Daphnia pulex: one gene and its partners. The protein of the gene in region 2 purifies or fractionates together with the protein of the main gene of each other region. This does not show direct contact. Links are inferred from orthologs where the notes say so. Each region holds a gene or a part of one and is shown on either strand. Other genes may lie near its edges. The genes, in order: GTP-binding protein 4-like, cell growth-regulating nucleolar protein-like and nucleolar GTP-binding protein 2-like.

Region 1 (5,980 bases), on a different chromosome or scaffold from region 2:
GCCTCCCGGAAGTAAAAATTGGTCGGTGAGTATATAAGATAGCAACACAGTAAAACCAGTTTCCGGCCATTTGATGAAACTAGAAGCCAAATCTGTTCGTTCCGTCTGTCAAACGGCCTTGACTTGATAGCCAAAAAAAAAAATCTATTTGTCAATTAGATTAATGAGCTACGACTGACTAGAATAATTTTGATTTGTTTGAATTTAGTGCACTCAATGCGGCAAACAATTCCGGCGCTCCAGCACGCTGGCGACGCATCGCCTAATTCATTCCGGAGTCCGCCCCTTCAGCTGCCATTTCTGTTCCAAGAAATTCTATCAAAATTCTGATCTCAAAAAACACATCTTCGTTCACACAGGTTCTTACAAAAATTATTTTTCGCCCATCTTCCTTATTCATTTAATTCACCGCGATGACTTGACAAAAAATTGGTGTAATCTTTAATTATCCGACAGGTGAAAAGCCTTACCGATGCATACAATGCGGTAAAACCTTTAGCCAATCATCCAACTTGTTGACGCATCAACGAAGACACGCCGGAACTCATCCGGGCCGTCGACGCGTAGCCACTCAAGCGACTCAACCGCAAGTCTACAGTTAAAATTTCTTTAAAAGATTAAAAAAAGAAAGCTGCAACAACTTGAAAGAAAAAGTTCCGGCCTTTCACCCCAATTGTGAGACAAACAAACAACTAAATCAAAAACAAAACAAAAAATCCAAGCGTCAGAGACCCCATTCGACTTGTTTTGATGTTGTTGTTGTTGTTTACTTGGCCCTTATTTGGCGATATGTGCAAAAATGTAAGGGAAGGTTACGCAGGTCTCTCTCTCTCTCTCTTTTGTTTGCGTCACAGAGTGCGCGATTCTAACCCAAGGCAACAAGTTGTTTACAAAAGTTTCAATCTTTTTGGCTTGGTGCCCATTTTCAAATAAACAAGACCCCAGAGCGCGTCGGATCACCAAGTTTTTCCTTTTCGTTATTTAAAAAAAAACTTATGTAAAATACTCAATAAATTATTGAAATTCAAAACTTTTTATCGAGACTGACGCCAACACGGTGTACTATTTTTCTTTCATTGAAATATTTTCCACAGCGGTCGAATTAATAAACAAAACACGCTGAAAAGAAAAACACAACAATTAAAGAGTACACATGAACCGAGAGAGGGCTGGAAGTGGCACATTTAAAACAAAAAAGCACAGGACCTTTTTTTGAGAATTGATGAACTCAGCAGGCAATCAGGGACTTTTGATGTGATAAGACGTCATATTCAACCTTGGCCTCTCCAACAAACTCCAGGAGCCGGGGCATCAGTCTCGTTGGATTCCTCTTCTTCGTAATCGTTTCGGATGTTGTTTTTAATTCTTACAATTTCTCTGTCTTTTAACGGCGATCGGTTTTACCAATGCCGCGCTTGCCGGAGTAAAGATGTCTGGGCATCTTGACTGCAATGTGTCGATCGGCTTCACCAGCCTTACCGAATTGATTCATCTTGCCCTGAGCTTTGTGACCCATCTTCTTGGCCTTGGCCTTGAGCTCAACGTTGCGGATGCCCGACTGGTCGCGCGGAGTGACGCGAGACGACGAGCTGACGCGTCCGGCAGAATCGGCGCGGGCCTTCTTGATGGGCGGACGGCTGGCCGAGCGCGATTTAGTGCGAGAGAAGTGAGCGCCACTCTTGTTGCTCATGTCGACGCCGAGTTCCTCGAACTCGGAGCGCAGACGGCTGACGGAACGCTCGCGCTTGCGTCCAGCGCGAGGCATCACGGGGGCACCTCCGCTGCGACCGATGCGACCCTCGATGGCGATGATGGCCTTCTTCTCGCGAATCTTGCCAGCTAACCGGTGGATCTCCTTCTCTTCATCGTCCATCTCTTCTTCCTCCTTTTCGTAGACTCCGGATTCAACCCGCAGCTCTTCCTCGCGCTCCAGCTCCTCCAGCTTGGCCATGATGTCAGGGTCGATGTAGTCGGCGATGTTCTTGCCTTCCCAGAATTCAGGAATGACGTCGTATTTGAAGTCGGCCGGAAGGTCGTAATTCTTTTTCAAATCCAGCGAGTAATCATCTTCCAGCTCAACCTCGAGATCGCGTTCCGTCTTCTTCTTGATCTTGGGTCCCTTCTCCAGACGTTTTTCAATCACCTTCTCGGGCACGAAGGCCGGACGTGTGCATCCGTCGCGAGGTTTAGGCAGAGCCACGTGCAGTCGGTTGAGAATGCCTTCCACCTTCTTGCTCTTGATCTTCACCTCGATTCTGTGGGACAGCAAACGTTCGCAGGCTTCCGTTTTGACATTCATCACTCCTTCTTCGCTGAATGTCGACATTTCCATAACGGGGATGTCGTCATTAATGAAACCTTGAATCAAGGCCTTTTGTTCAGGATTCAGCTCCTCCAGACGGATGACATCTGTCTTGTTCAGCACCACGAGCAATGGCTTGTTGGCAAAGAGAGGCTTGATGCTCTCAAAGAGTGCCACTTGCTGTTCGATGGTGTGACCACATTGCTCTGAAATGTCCATGACGTAGAGGATAGCAGCTCTCAGATGGGCCAAGGCAGCAATGGCCTGCATTTCAATGGTGTTACGATCTTCAAGAGGGTGATCCAAAATTCCTGGGGTGTCCACCACCTGCCAACGCAGGTAGCGATGATCAGTATGCCCGACAAAGAGCGACTTGGTCGTGAAAGCGTAAGGCTGGACTTCAACATCTGCCCTAGTGATCTTGTTGATGAAGCTGGATTTGCCGACATTGGGGAATCCACAGATAAGCAGTGTCCGGGTATTTGGGTCAATGGAAGGCAGACGGGAGAGATGCTGCCTGACCTGCTCCAGATATTGAAGACTCTGCGCTTGCCTCTTCATGATGGTGGCCATGCGACCCAAGGCTGCCTTCTTGAGCTGCTTGCAGCGGTACAGGGAGTCACCGTACTTGAGAAGACGGACATAATCTTTGGAGACATTGTCAATCAAATGCAGGGCAATGTTGATCTGACCAAGAGCTAATTTGTAATGATCCTTGTCGTAGAGAACATTCATCAAATCAGCATAGAAGGGATGAATATCGTCCAGCTTGGGGAAATCGGTCAGAATGGTGGACAATTTGTCATGAAAGGTCTGCTGGGAAAACTTGACTTTGCGCATGTAGAATTGACGGATACGAGAAATCTTGTACTGCTTGTGGACTACAGTTGGCGTCTTTCGTTGAGTTTTCGACAAGACGATGTCGATAAAATCCTGTGAAGTTAGCGAAACGTTAGCTGGCCCATCCAACAAGTAATGAAATATCTGCGTTTAATTTACCTTCGCCGTCGGAACGATGACAATCTTTTTGAAATTGTATTGCGACGTCATTTTGTTGATGGTAAGAGTGTCGCACTATTGAAAATTACACGTTTTTCAGAGAAATTCTCTGAAATATTCAGCAATGGCGCAGCCCACTGCTCACACGTGCAACGAAAAGAAAGAAGACACAAGAAAATCGGACATCTAGTGGTAGACTTTTATTCTCTTACTCTTTGCATCACTAGCGGCATCTATCAACATAATCTGCATAGAATTTGAATCGAGTTTTTTAAATTTTTTACTATTCTTTTGCATCAAACTTACTATTCATGTATTCAAAGATTAAGAAAAACAAAAATAAGGATAAATGTATTTACCGTTTACTTCATTTCAGCTCGAATATTTAGAAACGAAAGAAAAAGCTTTTATGCGGGAAACAAAATATACCACGATGGGGCTCAACCACGATATTTAAGTGCATGTGAATCCCCGCTCCTTATCGTGCTTGTATATAATACAAAACAAATATTTGCACAACAGAATTTACAGCCAGGATCCAAAATTTAAAATGTCAGTTTTAATCAGCGGGTGAGTTTTTCAAATAAGATAATGTAATGTAAACTCGATGTAGTGTTTATACAAGGTATAAGAAACCGAGTCCTATAAAATACGACGCAATCGTGCAACGCAATAGCTCAGTCTAAAAATTTGTGTAAAAAATGTCTCGTTTCTCAGTCGGTGTCAGTTTGATATTCATTTTAGGTTGCGGCGCGATTTGTTCTTCCGCTTCTGCCACCTATTCCTTAGAAGACAAATTGAAAGAATTAGAATCGAGACTCGAAACGAAAATCGATTTATTAGAGTCTAAAAATAGAGAACTTGAAGAAAAGGTGACGCAACTGGGGACCCAATTAGAACGAAATGTAAGTTTCTAAACAGATTCATCTTGTTATTTTCCTCCAATAGATTAAATACAATTTGATTTACACTAGAATGAAAGTAGAGACGAATTGGCTCTACAAGTTATCGAATTGAAAACTAAAGTTCAAGAACAAGACAAAGTTTTATCCGTCCTATTGAGAGAAAAGAAGGCAGATTCAGATGTTTCGATCAACATTAATAATCAATCACCCGTGGCTGTCAATGGATTGCCATCTTCGTGTGCAGATCTCAAAAGCATGGGCCACATCTGGAACGGATTTTATTCCGTTATGGGAAATACAACGATGGAATCCGTTTACTGCGATTTCACTAAACCCCCAAGCGATGCGGGTAATTTTGATTATTCTGCGTACTGTATGTTTTGTTGTAATCATCAATATTTTTTTAATATTTTTTATTATGATTTACTTTATTTGGAAAAGGTTTCCAAAAATGGATCGGATACAACGGCGTCAAATCAGCACCCGTCTATTTCCACGCTACGAGATCTTATAGTTTTAACACAATTGGACTCCCAATTAACTACACTTACATACCGTTGAACGTAGGAAATGCTATGGATGGGGCATCAGGAATATTCACGGCCCCACGATCGGGAGTTTATTTCTTCGCCTTCACGGGACAGGTGGAGTTTCCAGCTTCATCCTCGCCTGATCGTGTAGTGTTACAAGTTATGCTTCAAAGTACACAGAGTGAAGTCGGGAGGATTGCAGTTACAGAAACCAACACCAACGCTTATCATAGGAGTTTACTAACTCTTCAGGCGACGGTGAACTTGAAATCAGGTGAACAAGTCTTGTTAAGGATTATCAACATTGATCCAGGAACTAATTTGAATGGCGACGGTTATCTCTGCACCTTTTTCACCGGTTTCCTGTTGGAGGAGGAAATTGCCGCGTCTGTTTAAATTCGCGCGTTTTTAAATTCATTTTAACGTCAGCAAATCAATTGCCGAATATGAATTTACGAATAAGAATGCTTACTTTGCATCCAGATTTTTGTTTCAAGTCCGTATTAAATTGATTATTTGTTTACCAACTGCAAAATAATAGGCGCAACCTAATTACAGATTTTCCCTACCCCATACGCATGCTTCTTATTACGTAATCCCATATGAATTGAGCCACAGACTTATTTCCATGACGTTTTCCTGGTGACATTCTTAACTGTTTTATTTTTTATTTCAGGCAATTTTGGGTAAATACAACAGTATGTGGTCAGATAAAAATGGGAAATAATTTAAAGGGATGATTAACAAACTTCCTGAAGTAGCCACATTCAATTGTTAGTAGTTTATAATTTGATTTGGTAATATCTCAGAGAAAATCCAATATTTCCAACATTGGCTGCATCCCGCGTGTCGGTTACTGTCTCGTCGCTGTTGGTGTTGTAGATGATTCTGTACGGCTTACTCTTGGCTGAAATATAACCAAAACATTTAAAATAATCAGTTCACAATTAGTAGTATTCCAGTTGTTCTTACTGCAGACAGTCGTCGACATGTTGCTCTTGGGCAAAACATTCAGTCTCTCGCCGCAGTAACGGTCACGTAAATTTGCCGGACTGTTTGGCAGGGCAGGATCGTGACCATTTGGAATGATCAAAAAATCGTTGTTGCAATCTCCCAGATTGGCTTGGCTGAAACCGGCTTGTCCAGCCGTACCGACTGACGCATCCGACCCGGTTAGACTGAAGGCTTTCCCCCCATTGGGCGTCACCGATGGCGTAAAGCATAAAGTGGTATCAATCTGTCTA
Region 2 (6,054 bases):
CGAGAGAAAAAAAAAATCGACATAAAAGAGCTAGGCGGGAAACACTTGGTCTTGACTCTTGATAGCTAGATCGTTTTTCTATATATATTTTCAGAAGTCGTTGCTTTTAGAAATCATCATGCCTTCTTTGGATAATTGGATTGAAAAACCTCAAGAGATCATTCAGAAAATCTATGGTAAGTTTTTTTTGTTAAATTATACCATAATATTATGGTTATTGAATATTAAGATGTTTCAACAGAGAAACATAGTGGCAGTTCACCTTGGGAAAAAGAAGTAGATGACTACTTCACATCAAGATTGACCAATACAGAAACTTGGACTTCTATTCCATCGCTGAATGAAGTTTTAATTAAAGATCTCAGACATGGACAGTTGGTCAGATTTCGTGGCATGTTTCAAGATCAACTTGGTCCTGAGATGTATGGCTCTGGTGCTCTTGTAAAGAACACAACTTCAGGAAGTCAGAAAAATGTTACTGGAAAATTCAAGGATGAACTTTGTCTTGGAGTAAGAAATATTCAAAGTTGTGACAGTTTGCAGTTTCTGATTACTTAAATTAATGTTATTAGCTTGATGAAGAAGTTGTCAACTGGAACACCACAGAAAGCAGATCTTGCTATTACTGTGTACCAATACCTGGTGAAACTCCTTGGGTCAAACAAATATCCTTTTTCCTATACCAGTTTTTGCTGTCTTGGTCTATTGAAAATATTTCCCCTTTTTTTCCTTAACTAAATGTTATACATCTTCAGAGAGAAAAATAGTTTGTCTGGCCTGCAGCCTTCTAGACCTGTATCGATTGGGAAAAAGCGGCCCTTGGAAGAAGAAGATGACAATGAGATGATGGATCTAGGTGAATCCAATAAGCGGCCTTGTCCTTTAACAAACGCCAACCCATCAATGAGTGTTACCAATGGAAATTTGGACAAAATTCTAAATTTTCCTCTTCCGTCATCCGAATCTGTAGGCTGTATAGTTAAAATATACAGCGAAGATGAGGTGCCACTAAACGATGTTCTAGAAGTGGTAGGTGTCCTTTCCTTTAATACCCCAGGCGTCTCTGATGATGAAGAACGCGAAGATTTCCAGCCTCCTTCGTCGATTGTCCCACGAATTCACTGCATTGGTTCTCAAAAATGGCAACATAATAACCCATACATCATCTCATACAGCGGCCAGAAATGGAATGAAGGTTTGCAATCATTATGAAACTATTTTTTTTTCTTTAAATAAATCATTAATATTTTCCCAGAATCAGCGGCTGTGGTCGAGTTGTCCGCTACCATTCGAGATGAATTGCATGGTTTGTTTACTGAGTTCTTCTTGGGGGACAGTCTCGCTGCTGATTATTTGCTGTGTCATTTGATGTCACGCGTGTAAGTTGACCCTTGTTTTCTTAGATATTTATTATTCTGGCTCAGTATTGCAGCTACCGACTGACTATGCCGTTCATTTGCAATACTATAGCCTAGACTAAAACTTGTCTAATCAGGTGGAGGTCAAACGAAAGAATAATTTGCCTCTGTATGCTTGGACAAACAATCCAAAGATCTTACATTTATTCAACATACCATTACTAGACCGAAAGATTAATTTAGTTCTTGTAACAGGTACAACCGGAAAGATTCGTTAGCGCTTGGCAAATTGTCATTGAATTTAACAAACGTCCCCATAGACAATGCGGTTTTACAAGAAAGCTTTCCTCGTTTTTTGTTCAGTTTGTTAGAACGCTTAGTTACCAAAGCGCATTATTTGCCCATGTCTCTTGAAAATCTGAATACTCTGCGTATGATCCCTAAGAAAGATTACCAGGAAAATCGACTGATTGCCGGTTGTCTTCAACTGAGTTCACAAACGCACTTAGTTCTCGATGAGACAGCAATGACAGAAGGTAGTCCTAGTTTGAAAACAAATTATTATTAGCTTTCATTAATTCTCGGATTGCACTGTATTTTCTTCAGGTCAACTGATAGCAGATGGAGTGCGTAATGTAACTGCGATTGGAAACATATCTTCATGGCAGAAAATCGAATATGATTTCAATTATCATCAAGTGGAATTTCACACCGATATCCCCGTCCTGATACTATCCGAACGTCGCTCTATTGTTGCCACAGATGTAAACCTACCGCTAAGGTTGAACATGTCACGTGGCCGTCCGTTCGCTGAACTCATTGAGAAATTGGAAACTAATGCTGAACTGCTCATGCAAATGAGAAATTATCTCACCGTAACCAGACTTTTGCCTTTCAAACTTAATGACGCCATTCAGGAGGCGGTTCAACAAGATTTTATTCAGAGTCGTGCTCCAGGTCAAGCTAATCCTATGTCCACTGAAGATTTCCACTTGTTGCTTGTTTTGTCTCGGTTGTTGGCCCTTACGTACGGTAAAACGGAGCTGCTGGACGTGTCTCTTTGGCAAAGAGCGAAGGCAATGGAAGCGGAACGTAAATCTCGCTTATCAAATTCCAGTCGTTGATATGCTATTATGTTGTGTATTTTTGTGATTTCTCATTTGTCTTAAAGGATTAAAAAATGGATGGATTTTTCATATGAGTCTAAAGTAAATTGCGCAAAGGCTACAAAAGTTTTATAATAGAAGTTACAGATCCTAAATTTTATCCGGCAACTATGCTCACACTAGCTTAAAGCGTCTGCTGTCTAGTGTCTAGTTTAGTTTCAACTACCTCCTACACGTGTGCGATCATTAGACATTAGTACACGAAGTAATAGTTGACAGTTGGCACCCTACTCCAATATTGGAAATGGTTTTTTTCGTTTGCAATGGATGTGGTACATCTGTAAAAAAAAACCAAGTGGAAAAGCATCAATATCAGTGTAGAAGGTCTCAACATCTGTCATGTGTAGATTGTTCTAAAGATTTTATGTAAGTAAAAACCAAATACAGTTAACAATTAGTGTCACAATTTCATTTAAAATATTTGAATTGCTTCAAAATTCTAGAGGAGAAGAATATAAATCACATATCAAGTGTGTGTCAGAAGAAGAAAAGTATTCAGCCAAAGGTTTTGTTCCTAAACCAAATCAGAACAAAAATGAAAGAAAACAAACTGAATGGGTGGAAATGGTAGATTCTGACTGTTTTTTAGTAAATATTAAAATGTATTATAATTTATGATTTACTAGGTGCAAAATTTGGTTGAGACTGTCGGAAACACAAATGATGAACTGAGCAGTGCTCTTCAACGCATTAGCCAATATGAAAATATCCCAAGGAAAAAGCCCAAGTTTATTGTAAGCAAATGTTGAGTTTTAAACCAATTGCAAAATGTTTATAATGTTATTCCTTTTCAGAATTTTTTGAAAAATGTTTTGGGAAATAGAGTACATCCAAGAACAATTGGTATAAACAAAGAAAAATTATTCATTATTGTTCATGTCAAAACTAATTTAATTTATAAATATATTTAGAACAATTGTGGGATGTAATTTCCAAAGCCCTCGAGGAACTACGTTTAAGCAAAGTGGTACCACCGAATACCAATATCAAAGCGAAAGCATTGGAAGAAACGGGAAAGACCTCTACTGAAGAAAATGGAATCAAAAGGAAGAATGATATTGAAAATGAAATCCCTGCCAATGGAAACAAGAAAAGAAAGAAGGAAGCTGTGCAATCGCAAGAGGATGAAATTCGCAAACAAGCGAACGATACTATAAATTCCGTTGGGGAAGCCGAGCAATCTGCTAAAGTTAAATGGTGTACGATTGGCAAGATTATTCTGCGCGCCCAGGATGACAAGGAATTGTCGTTGAAGAAGTTTCAGAAAAAAATCATTGGAGAATATTTACAGCGAATGGCGGATGCACTAAGTGCTGATGAGTCTGTTGAGGTCTTGTGGTCTAAGTGTCAAAAGAAACTTTCAAAAAATCCAAAATTTAAGATTCACAAAGACAAAATAAAGCTTGTCTCATGATGCAGTTGTCTGTGATGACGAGATCGACTTACCAATTAAACGATCTATTTACTTGTTAGCCAATATCTTTTTTTTCGTGGTAAAGTCCTTATAACATTTAATCTTTCTTATTCTCTTATCTTGTCTAATACTTCGAGATCGATTAACCTCATTGGTTCCCCGAAACCGAAAAGGCCGAAACAAAAAAAAATCTCCTGTAGAAAAAAAAAGGCGGAATGCAAAAACTTATCATAATCTTGTTTTTCTTTCAGCCTCGTCAAATATTTCGAATTTCGAAAGGATGCTGAAATAAAAAAAAAAAGATAAAGGATTTTATACTTGCGTTGCGGTTTTTGGTTTTTGGCATACAGCAAGATAAACTTTCTGTATTGCAATGACTAGGGCAGCTAGGCCGTAGGCCCATTAATTCAACGATCGAAAATTGACGAATAGAAATTTATAAATTTAAGGATTTATCCTACTCTCTTCGTCTCATCACAGATAAAGACCACTTCTCTTTTCTTCTTTATTCCTTCTTTATCCTTCTTTATTCTTTACACCACTTGTCTTCTTTACCTATGGTCTCATCTCATGCTCATGACTGAATCAGTCGCAACCTCTGGTCGCACCGTATTTCTTTATAACTAATTAACTATATTGCATTTACATGAGTTATACCATAGCTCTGTCTCTGATCACTTGCACTGTTTTTTTAAATCATTATTTAATCACTTGGAATCACTTCAAATAAAAATAAAATGATAGGCCTAAATCATTAGTGGTTCGAATATGGCAACTTCGCATACTAGAAAATTCTGATGTAAAGTTGTCTGCTGTTCTTTGGCATTACCACGTGCATTTAACGTCAAGTTTGGTTCTTGTTCTTGGCTTAGTCTTGCAAGTTGTACCGGAGTCCAGAGGTAGGAGATAAAATATTATATTACAATGTGATGTTTCTTACGCTTTTATATTAACTAGTCTTTGAATATACACGTTCTATTGATTCAGAATTCTACATAGTTCATCATGGTTCGTCATGGAAAACACTCACACGCAAAACCTGACCAAAGCGCCGAAGAAAGAAAAGAAGTATGGGTTTCTATGGTTGAAAAATTAATCAAATCAGTTGGTGATTCTGATGAAGATTTGACAATCGCCCTCGAAAAAATTTCTCGAGCGAAAAAAGTTCCAAGGAGGTGGTTAAACTTAAACAAACCAAAGTTTGTGGTAAAAGAAAAGTGCTTTTTATAGTTTGGGAAATAAGTTCCTAACCAAAAGATTTTATGGGTTTTGATTTCTAGAGCTTTTTGAAGTATCTCCGATATAAAATTACTCCAAGTGTTGTTGACCAGCTGTGGGAATTGTTTTCCAAATCCATAGATGTGGAAAGGAAAAAAGAAATCAAGAGAAACACTAAACCAATTAAAACAGGAAATACAGATGGGAAAATTGATGAAAAAGAAGTTACGATTGAAGAAAAAATGGAAAATTGATACAACACAAAATTTCATAAGAAATGATTGAATAATGTCCGAACTCTGAAATGGAATTTTTTTATGATTTGGTATGACAATATCATGCTTGTCTCACGTCTCACGATGCTCTCGTCTGTACTGATGAGATCGGATTATCTAGTAAACGACCAATTTACTTGTATTTGTTTTTTGTTTATTACTCCAATAGATTTTTGCGATTATCCACCTGAATATCTTAGCAAACTCACGGGGTTTCTTGCTCAAAATAGTTGAATTTTACATACAGTTGATTGGCAATTCTAAAATGGGTGTCCCTAAACTATGGACTTGGACAGTCCATTTTGGACTACTAAACTATGGACTTCGATCGAAAACTATGGACTTCACCAGATGGCGCTGCCTGTCCGAAACTATGGACTTAGGGACCTAAAATATGGACTTTAACCTGCAGAAACTATGGACTCCATCAGATGGCGTTATATCCGAAACACTGGACTTGGCGTCTAAAGTATGGACTTTAAATGTATAAACTTGGCTTAGATCCGAATATTTTCGCTTAAGTTTTAAACGGTTCAATGAATATATCTTTTAATTAAATTTAAGCAAACCACAAATTCATTCTGAATGGTGTATTGCGAGTATTGATACACGATTTACAAGGT
Region 3 (5,810 bases), on a different chromosome or scaffold from region 2:
TTGTCAATTCAATTGGGGAATTAATTCGCTTGGGGAATGACTGCATAAATACGAGAATATAGCTGGCCTATAGGACACAATTGCGTGAAAATCTAACCTGATTTTATTATTTTGATAGTTTGGAATGACAAATCAATTCAAGGGGAAATTGTGCCCTACTTTATTATTATTGGTGAATTAATCAGTTTACAACAAATTTTCTGTCATTCTTTTTTCCTTTTCCTGTCAATACATTTGCTGTGTTACTTCAGTTTACGAAAAATCCCCGTCATCCTTAATAGGAGATTATAAATTTTCATTCTCAATGTTATCTATACTGCAAAAAAAAAATCGAGGCATTTTTGTGTTATCAGGCAGCCAGCAATATTTAGGCTTACGTACATGTCTAGAATGAGACGTAGGTGGGTTATTTATTCCTGTTTTATAGAAAGAAAAAATCATTTCACTTATACCATCAGCCATCAGCACACAAAGAGGATATTCATGTTGAGTAATAGCCTCGAGAAGAAGAAGATATGGGTTGCATATACGTAACAGAATCTCCCGAGATGAAAACAGAATCCAACTTTGACGATACAATGGTCGTAAAATACTGCCCCGAGTGAGGTTCGAACTCACGACCTCGAGATTATGAGACTCGCGCGCTGCCTACTGCGCTATCGAGGCTTATACAACATCTATCCAGAAAACTCAAAATGCTATTTGTTTTGTGGTCTGGTTCAGGAAATTAGCCTTCCAACGAACTTAGTATAATAGTTTCTCCTTTTAAAATTTGATCAAAGAAAGCCTCGTTTAAACCACACCTGCTAATAAAACAAGTTTTTAAAAAAAGAAACGCATAACACGATAATTTCAACTTGGAAAAATAAGTTTACGAATAAATACCCATCTATTTTCATCGTTTTATTTCAGACCCCACTTACATAAAAGATGTTCAAAATAACTGAATCAATCGGCGAGAAAGAGAAGAATCGAGAATGTGTGTATCGGCCCGTGGTGGCAATTAGAATCAATCAATCGTTATAATCAGCTCATAAAGAAGATTAGACAATCACAAAAGCAACTCCCACACTACTTCTTACAGTGACCCCTAAAGGCCTTGGCCATCTCCAAGAAACCCTTCTTCTTCGACTTGTTTTTGACGTTGACCACTTCGTAAAAGTGAGTGCCGATCTTCTTCTTTTTCTGATCGCGATCGATCTTTCTCCTCTCTCTCGAAGTCAGCTTCCAGCGCGGGTTTTCCGGTCGGTCGTCCTCGTCACCGCCGCCTCCTTTCTTGGTCGATCGCGACGTGGGCGTCACGGAAAAGGCCCCGCTCTTGGTGATGGTTCTCGCTTTGAGTTTCAGGGTCTTGGCTTGTTTCTTCTTGGCCGCCGCATCCACGTCGCTATCTTCCTCTTCTTCTTCGTCCATCTCATCCTCGTAATCGTCTTCCTCGTCGTCGAGACCTTCGTGGTCTTCCCCTTTGGACACATCAGCCGATTTCGACTCTTCCGTCGCTTTGTCGGTGGCCACATTCTCCTCTGCGTCTTCATCGTCTTCCGCTTCGTCGGCCGAAGGGTCGTCCATGAAGTCCGGCTGGGCCTCCAAAGGCTGGACGTCGTCACCTTCGTATTTCAGATCCACCCGAATTTTACTGAAATCCTGGGCCAATCTGGGCTCGAATTTCTTCTTGTCCTTTTCAGTCTCCTCTCCCGACTCTTCAACAGCGGCGGCTGTGGCATCTCCTTCGGTTTTCTCCTCCACTTTGGCCGCATCCGGATTGACAGGGGCGACGAAGAAAGGCAATTTGCCTCGCTGCCAATCGTTCAAGACCATTCGGGCCACGGCGTTGTTGTCCGGTTCTCCACCCTTTAGCAGCCTGCCCGTTCGGCGGGCCATCTGGTCGAGAAAGTCGGTGGCATCTTTCCAGTCGTTCAACCTGTAGACGCGGCTCAAATACTCTTTCTTCACCCGTTCCAGCACAGCTGGAATAAAGTCTTCGGGCGTTTTCAGCTTTTCCACTTGAACGACACCCTGAAAGAATAGAGCAATCGTATTAGAATTTGCAATCAGGTAAATCAAATTGCGATCGGTTTACCTTCAACACTTTTTCCTCGTCCGTCTCTCCGGTGGGAAATACAACTCCCGGGCAGTCGATGAGGAAGATTCGACGCATCAGCGTGATGTACTGCCAGACTTTGGTCTCACCGGCGATGGGCGCCACCTTGCAGACTTTCTTGCTGCGCAGGGTATTGATGACGGACGATTTTCCAACATTCGGGTAGCCGATGAAACCCACGCTGATTTGTTTCTTGTCGCTGTGAAGCTTGCCGAACTGGCGCAGCAAATTGATCAACGAACCTTTACCAAAGGGATGGGTCATCGAAGAACGGAAGGCCATGGTGGGGTACTCGGAGCTGAGCGTCTTGACCCAACGTTGGGTAATCCAAGTTGGTACCAAATCCACCTAGAAAGAAGCATGGAATGAGGCCAGGGGTCTAAATTATCTTGGGAATGACTTTGCTTACCTTGTTGAGCACGAAAAACAATTGCTTGTGGCTTTTTTCTTTACGGATATAAGCTTCGACTTGCTTGCATCGAGTTCCCAAAGGATCACGGGCGTCCAAAACCTTTTCAAATTAAACATTTAGTACAATTGAACTCAAATAAATGATTTGGTATAATTCAATACCTGGATAATGACGTCCGAGCAGTCAATCACTTTGTACAATTCTCCCCAGATTCGTTTGCTGAGGCCAGCCTTCATGATCCACTCTCGAGTCAGTTCGCGATCGTCTGGCAGATCACGAACCAAAGCTCCGTCCTTTTCGATTTCGTAACCGTCACCGAATTTTTGGGCTGAGGATACGTAGCTGTCCAAGTCACCGGTGGCAAGGCTCGGCCGCTTTCGCTGTTTCTTGGGGCCAAAAGTGTTTTCAAAGCTTTCAGTTTCCAGCAAGTGAACTCTTGCGAATTTAGAGGATTCCTTCAGCAGAGTGATGGGCAGCTTTGTCTGACGCATTACTACTTGATAGGGATCCTTGATGGCCTGTCCAAGTTCTTCTTGGAATTTCTGGAGTGCTGATTGGCCAACCTAAATATAGTCACGTAGATTAAGATATTTGATCACTATCAAAGAAATGGTGAAGTAGTAATTACGATCACATACCACTCTGACATTTCCAAACCAGCGCCGGTTAGGTTCCACACGTGCAACAGTACCAGATGCAAATTTGGATTGAAAAGGTGCTGGGCGGATGACTTTGCCTGATTCATCACGCTTGGCCTTAAAGTTACGGTACATCTGCAATCGTTTGATTGTGGCCTTATCTCTTGCCTTGCTCACTCCCCTCAGACCAGAAATTTTTCGATCTGGGTTCATACTGCATCAGAAGATTTTATTAGCAAACATTTAGTATATTAGTGACAAATAACAAACCTGTGTCCGGATCGGTTAAATCCATCTTTTCGTCCGGCCTTTTTGACCGGATCGGTCTTACGGACAGTCCTAGCCATTTTGAGGAAGTACGATGCTTAAACCTGTTTTTAACATTTGAAAACATTGCTATTCAAAACACGAAAATACTGAAAATAAATATACGACCTACCACTCAGAATCAGTAGCTTCAATATCTGTAACGTAAACAGATCAAATGCAAACTACTTTTATAAAAAAACAAAATTTGTCATAAACTTTAAAGCGTACAACTTTTCGTACTTCTTTTCACACGTGTTGTCGTGAAAAGTCTCTCAAGAAAACGTCTGCTATTTGAGCTGACATCTAGGAACAAATTCCAAAGTTAAAACGTGCTGCCATCTAGCGGTAAAAAATTCACATAGTAAAAAAAAAAAATTATCATTCCATGTCGCCTATCGACGTAAAATGCCCAGTGGCAGAATGACTAAAGAAAAAACCTGTTTGACTAGCTCAGCCTATCCCTTTGGTAACAGCTTATTACTTATCGGAACACAAATCACATCCTCTTCTTTTTTTTTTAACTCTGCGTGTCATTGACCGACCAACCAACACACAAAAAAAACCACTTTGAATCCTCTCCATCCCTATAAGGATTATATAGGCGGGTTCGATAATATTTTTCTCCTTCTTTCTTTAAAAAAAAATCAACCAATATAGTATACATGCACTTGTATACGAACACACACAGTTATAAAAGAAATTTAAAAATTTCCGAGTCGTGAAGTTACATGAAATGTGTATACAACATCATTTACGAGGAACCGTGCGTACAAGACACAAGAAATATTTAAAAAAAAACACACACACACAAACTTGTCTTTTTTGAAAATTTTTCTATCTTTCATATTTCTTTTTTTCTTTTCTTTTTGTTGTCTGCTTTTCGATATGATGTGCTAAAAATGTAAATGAAGTTCTCTCGCCCGTCGGCGGCTTCTTTCTCTGCCAGGAGAATACATGTAGTATAAAAGACATGGTAATAATTTCATGCGACATCTCAATGACATTTCGGCAATTTTTCCCACCAAACAAAAAAAAAATTCAAAAATTTCCGCATTGGATTTAAAAAACAAACAAAAGTCGATAGCAAAAAATCGCGCAGAAATATTTTAAAAAAGAAAAAATTCCCATTCTGTTCTACATCTAAACAAATGAAAGAGAGAACAACGCATATGTACACTGGGTTCAAATTTTGTGATTTTCCCTGGCCAATTTAATTAATTTTTAAAATGGCGGAAATGTCTAGATTGCGCATTTTATTCGTTCATTTCAAGCCCTGGCCAGCTGCTGATCGCCATCTTCTTTGTGGTTGGCATTGTTGGTCGTCGTGTTGGTGGTGGATCGGATGACTTTGACCTTTTCGGCGTGAGCCGTGTAATGGAGCATGTCGGTGAGGAAAGTGCGGCCGGAAGAGCGCGACGTTTGAGTCTGCGAGGTCAGCCGGGCCGAGCGCGAAGATCCGCAGAGGAGCTGGCGGTAGGCCGATCGGTACTGCCGGTTGGAAAACGCGTAGATGAACGGGTTGATGACACTGGACGCCCAGGCCAGGATGGAGGCCATCACGTGAATGACTGGCACTTTTGTCTTTTTCTATGGAATTAAGAAATTAAAAATCAAATCAAATCATCCCAATCACAATGATAATTTTTGTTCACACGAACCTCGTCGTCGGCCACGTTGACCACCATGAGCGGCAGGAAGCAGAGGAGGAAGCAGCAAAAGATGATAAGCATCATACGGGTGAGTCGCAGGTCATCCCGTCTCTGGTGCTTCTCCGACGTGCTCTTCTTGCCCGGCTTTTTATTCACCGATTTCATCACCGGAACATTGGCCTGATGCTCTTCCGCTCTGTTGTTGCCACCACTCGTTCCGGGGCTGAAATTCAAATGAAACCCATTTTTTTTTAATTTCCCGCCAAAATTTAAATGGGCAATTTATTGATTTACCTGTGGGCCATGACGTTGCGTCTGGACTGTTTGACTTTGACGAAGATGCACGTGTAGGAGACGATGATGGTCAGACAGGGGATGAGAAAGCCGAAAGCGAAAAAGAACTTTTTCGGCGACTTGCCATTCTCCCCCGGCAGGATGGTGCAGGAGAAAGTGGCGGGATTGAGGCCCAGGTCGCCCCAGATGCCCAGCAGCGGTGGCGTCATCATCAGGAAGCTGAAGAGCCACGAGCCGAGGATCATCAAGACGATCAGCGGGCGCCGGTAGATCTTGTCGTACCAAGACGGCGAAGCTATCAGAATATACCTGGGAATTTTGCAAATTAAATCAAAATTAAATCCCCTGGGATCAGAAATAGACCAGCCGGCTGCTGCTGGACAGACAGTACAATGAGATGCCTATAC

The links.
Region 1: the proteins of cell growth-regulating nucleolar protein-like (region 2) and GTP-binding protein 4-like purify together in Homo sapiens (co-immunoprecipitation; 3 studies listed by BioGRID and IntAct, with this or other methods). This does not show direct contact. The link is inferred for Daphnia pulex from reciprocal best matches to the Homo sapiens genes LYAR and GTPBP4.
Region 3: the proteins of cell growth-regulating nucleolar protein-like (region 2) and nucleolar GTP-binding protein 2-like purify together in Homo sapiens (affinity purification with mass spectrometry; 3 studies listed by BioGRID and IntAct, with this or other methods). This does not show direct contact. The link is inferred for Daphnia pulex from reciprocal best matches to the Homo sapiens genes LYAR and GNL2.

What each region holds. Positions count from the first base shown.
Region 1 is NC_060026.1:14,945,154-14,951,133, forward strand, and holds GTP-binding protein 4-like, read right to left. Parts: upstream 3,495-5,980; 5' UTR 3,353-3,494; coding exon 3,302-3,352; intron 3,236-3,301; coding exon 1,385-3,235; 3' UTR 1,032-1,384; downstream 1-1,031. Other genes in the region: zinc finger protein 271-like, read left to right, coding at 1-25, 209-359, 457-602; uncharacterized protein LOC124204378, read left to right, coding at 4,003-4,206, 4,276-4,555, 4,648-5,132; uncharacterized protein LOC124204377, read right to left, coding at 5,519-5,643, 5,709-5,973. UniProt on the Homo sapiens protein: Involved in the biogenesis of the 60S ribosomal subunit. Acts as a TP53 repressor, preventing TP53 stabilization and cell cycle arrest.
Region 2 is NC_060020.1:1,869,524-1,875,577, reverse strand, and holds cell growth-regulating nucleolar protein-like, read left to right. Parts: upstream 1-2,671; 5' UTR 2,672-2,768; coding exon 2,769-2,890; intron 2,891-2,967; coding exon 2,968-3,091; intron 3,092-3,150; coding exon 3,151-3,258; intron 3,259-3,318; coding exon 3,319-3,367; intron 3,368-3,435; coding exon 3,436-3,938; 3' UTR 3,939-4,837; intron 4,838-4,895; 3' UTR 4,896-5,144; intron 5,145-5,218; 3' UTR 5,219-5,573; downstream 5,574-6,054. Other genes in the region: mini-chromosome maintenance complex-binding protein-like, read left to right, coding at 119-176, 242-510, 573-665, 748-1,195, 1,256-1,379, 1,614-1,894, 1,965-2,482. UniProt on the Homo sapiens protein: Plays a role in the maintenance of the appropriate processing of 47S/45S pre-rRNA to 32S/30S pre-rRNAs and their subsequent processing to produce 18S and 28S rRNAs. Also acts at the level of transcription regulation.
Region 3 is NC_060028.1:1,710,810-1,716,619, forward strand, and holds nucleolar GTP-binding protein 2-like, read right to left. Parts: upstream 3,742-5,810; 5' UTR 3,591-3,741; intron 3,523-3,590; 5' UTR 3,499-3,522; coding exon 3,422-3,498; intron 3,366-3,421; coding exon 3,152-3,365; intron 3,077-3,151; coding exon 2,675-3,076; intron 2,613-2,674; coding exon 2,511-2,612; intron 2,450-2,510; coding exon 2,081-2,449; intron 2,017-2,080; coding exon 1,072-2,016; 3' UTR 892-1,071; downstream 1-891. Other genes in the region: protein trapped in endoderm-1-like, read right to left, coding at 4,727-5,047, 5,119-5,332, 5,404-5,712. UniProt on the Homo sapiens protein: GTPase that associates with pre-60S ribosomal subunits in the nucleolus and is required for their nuclear export and maturation.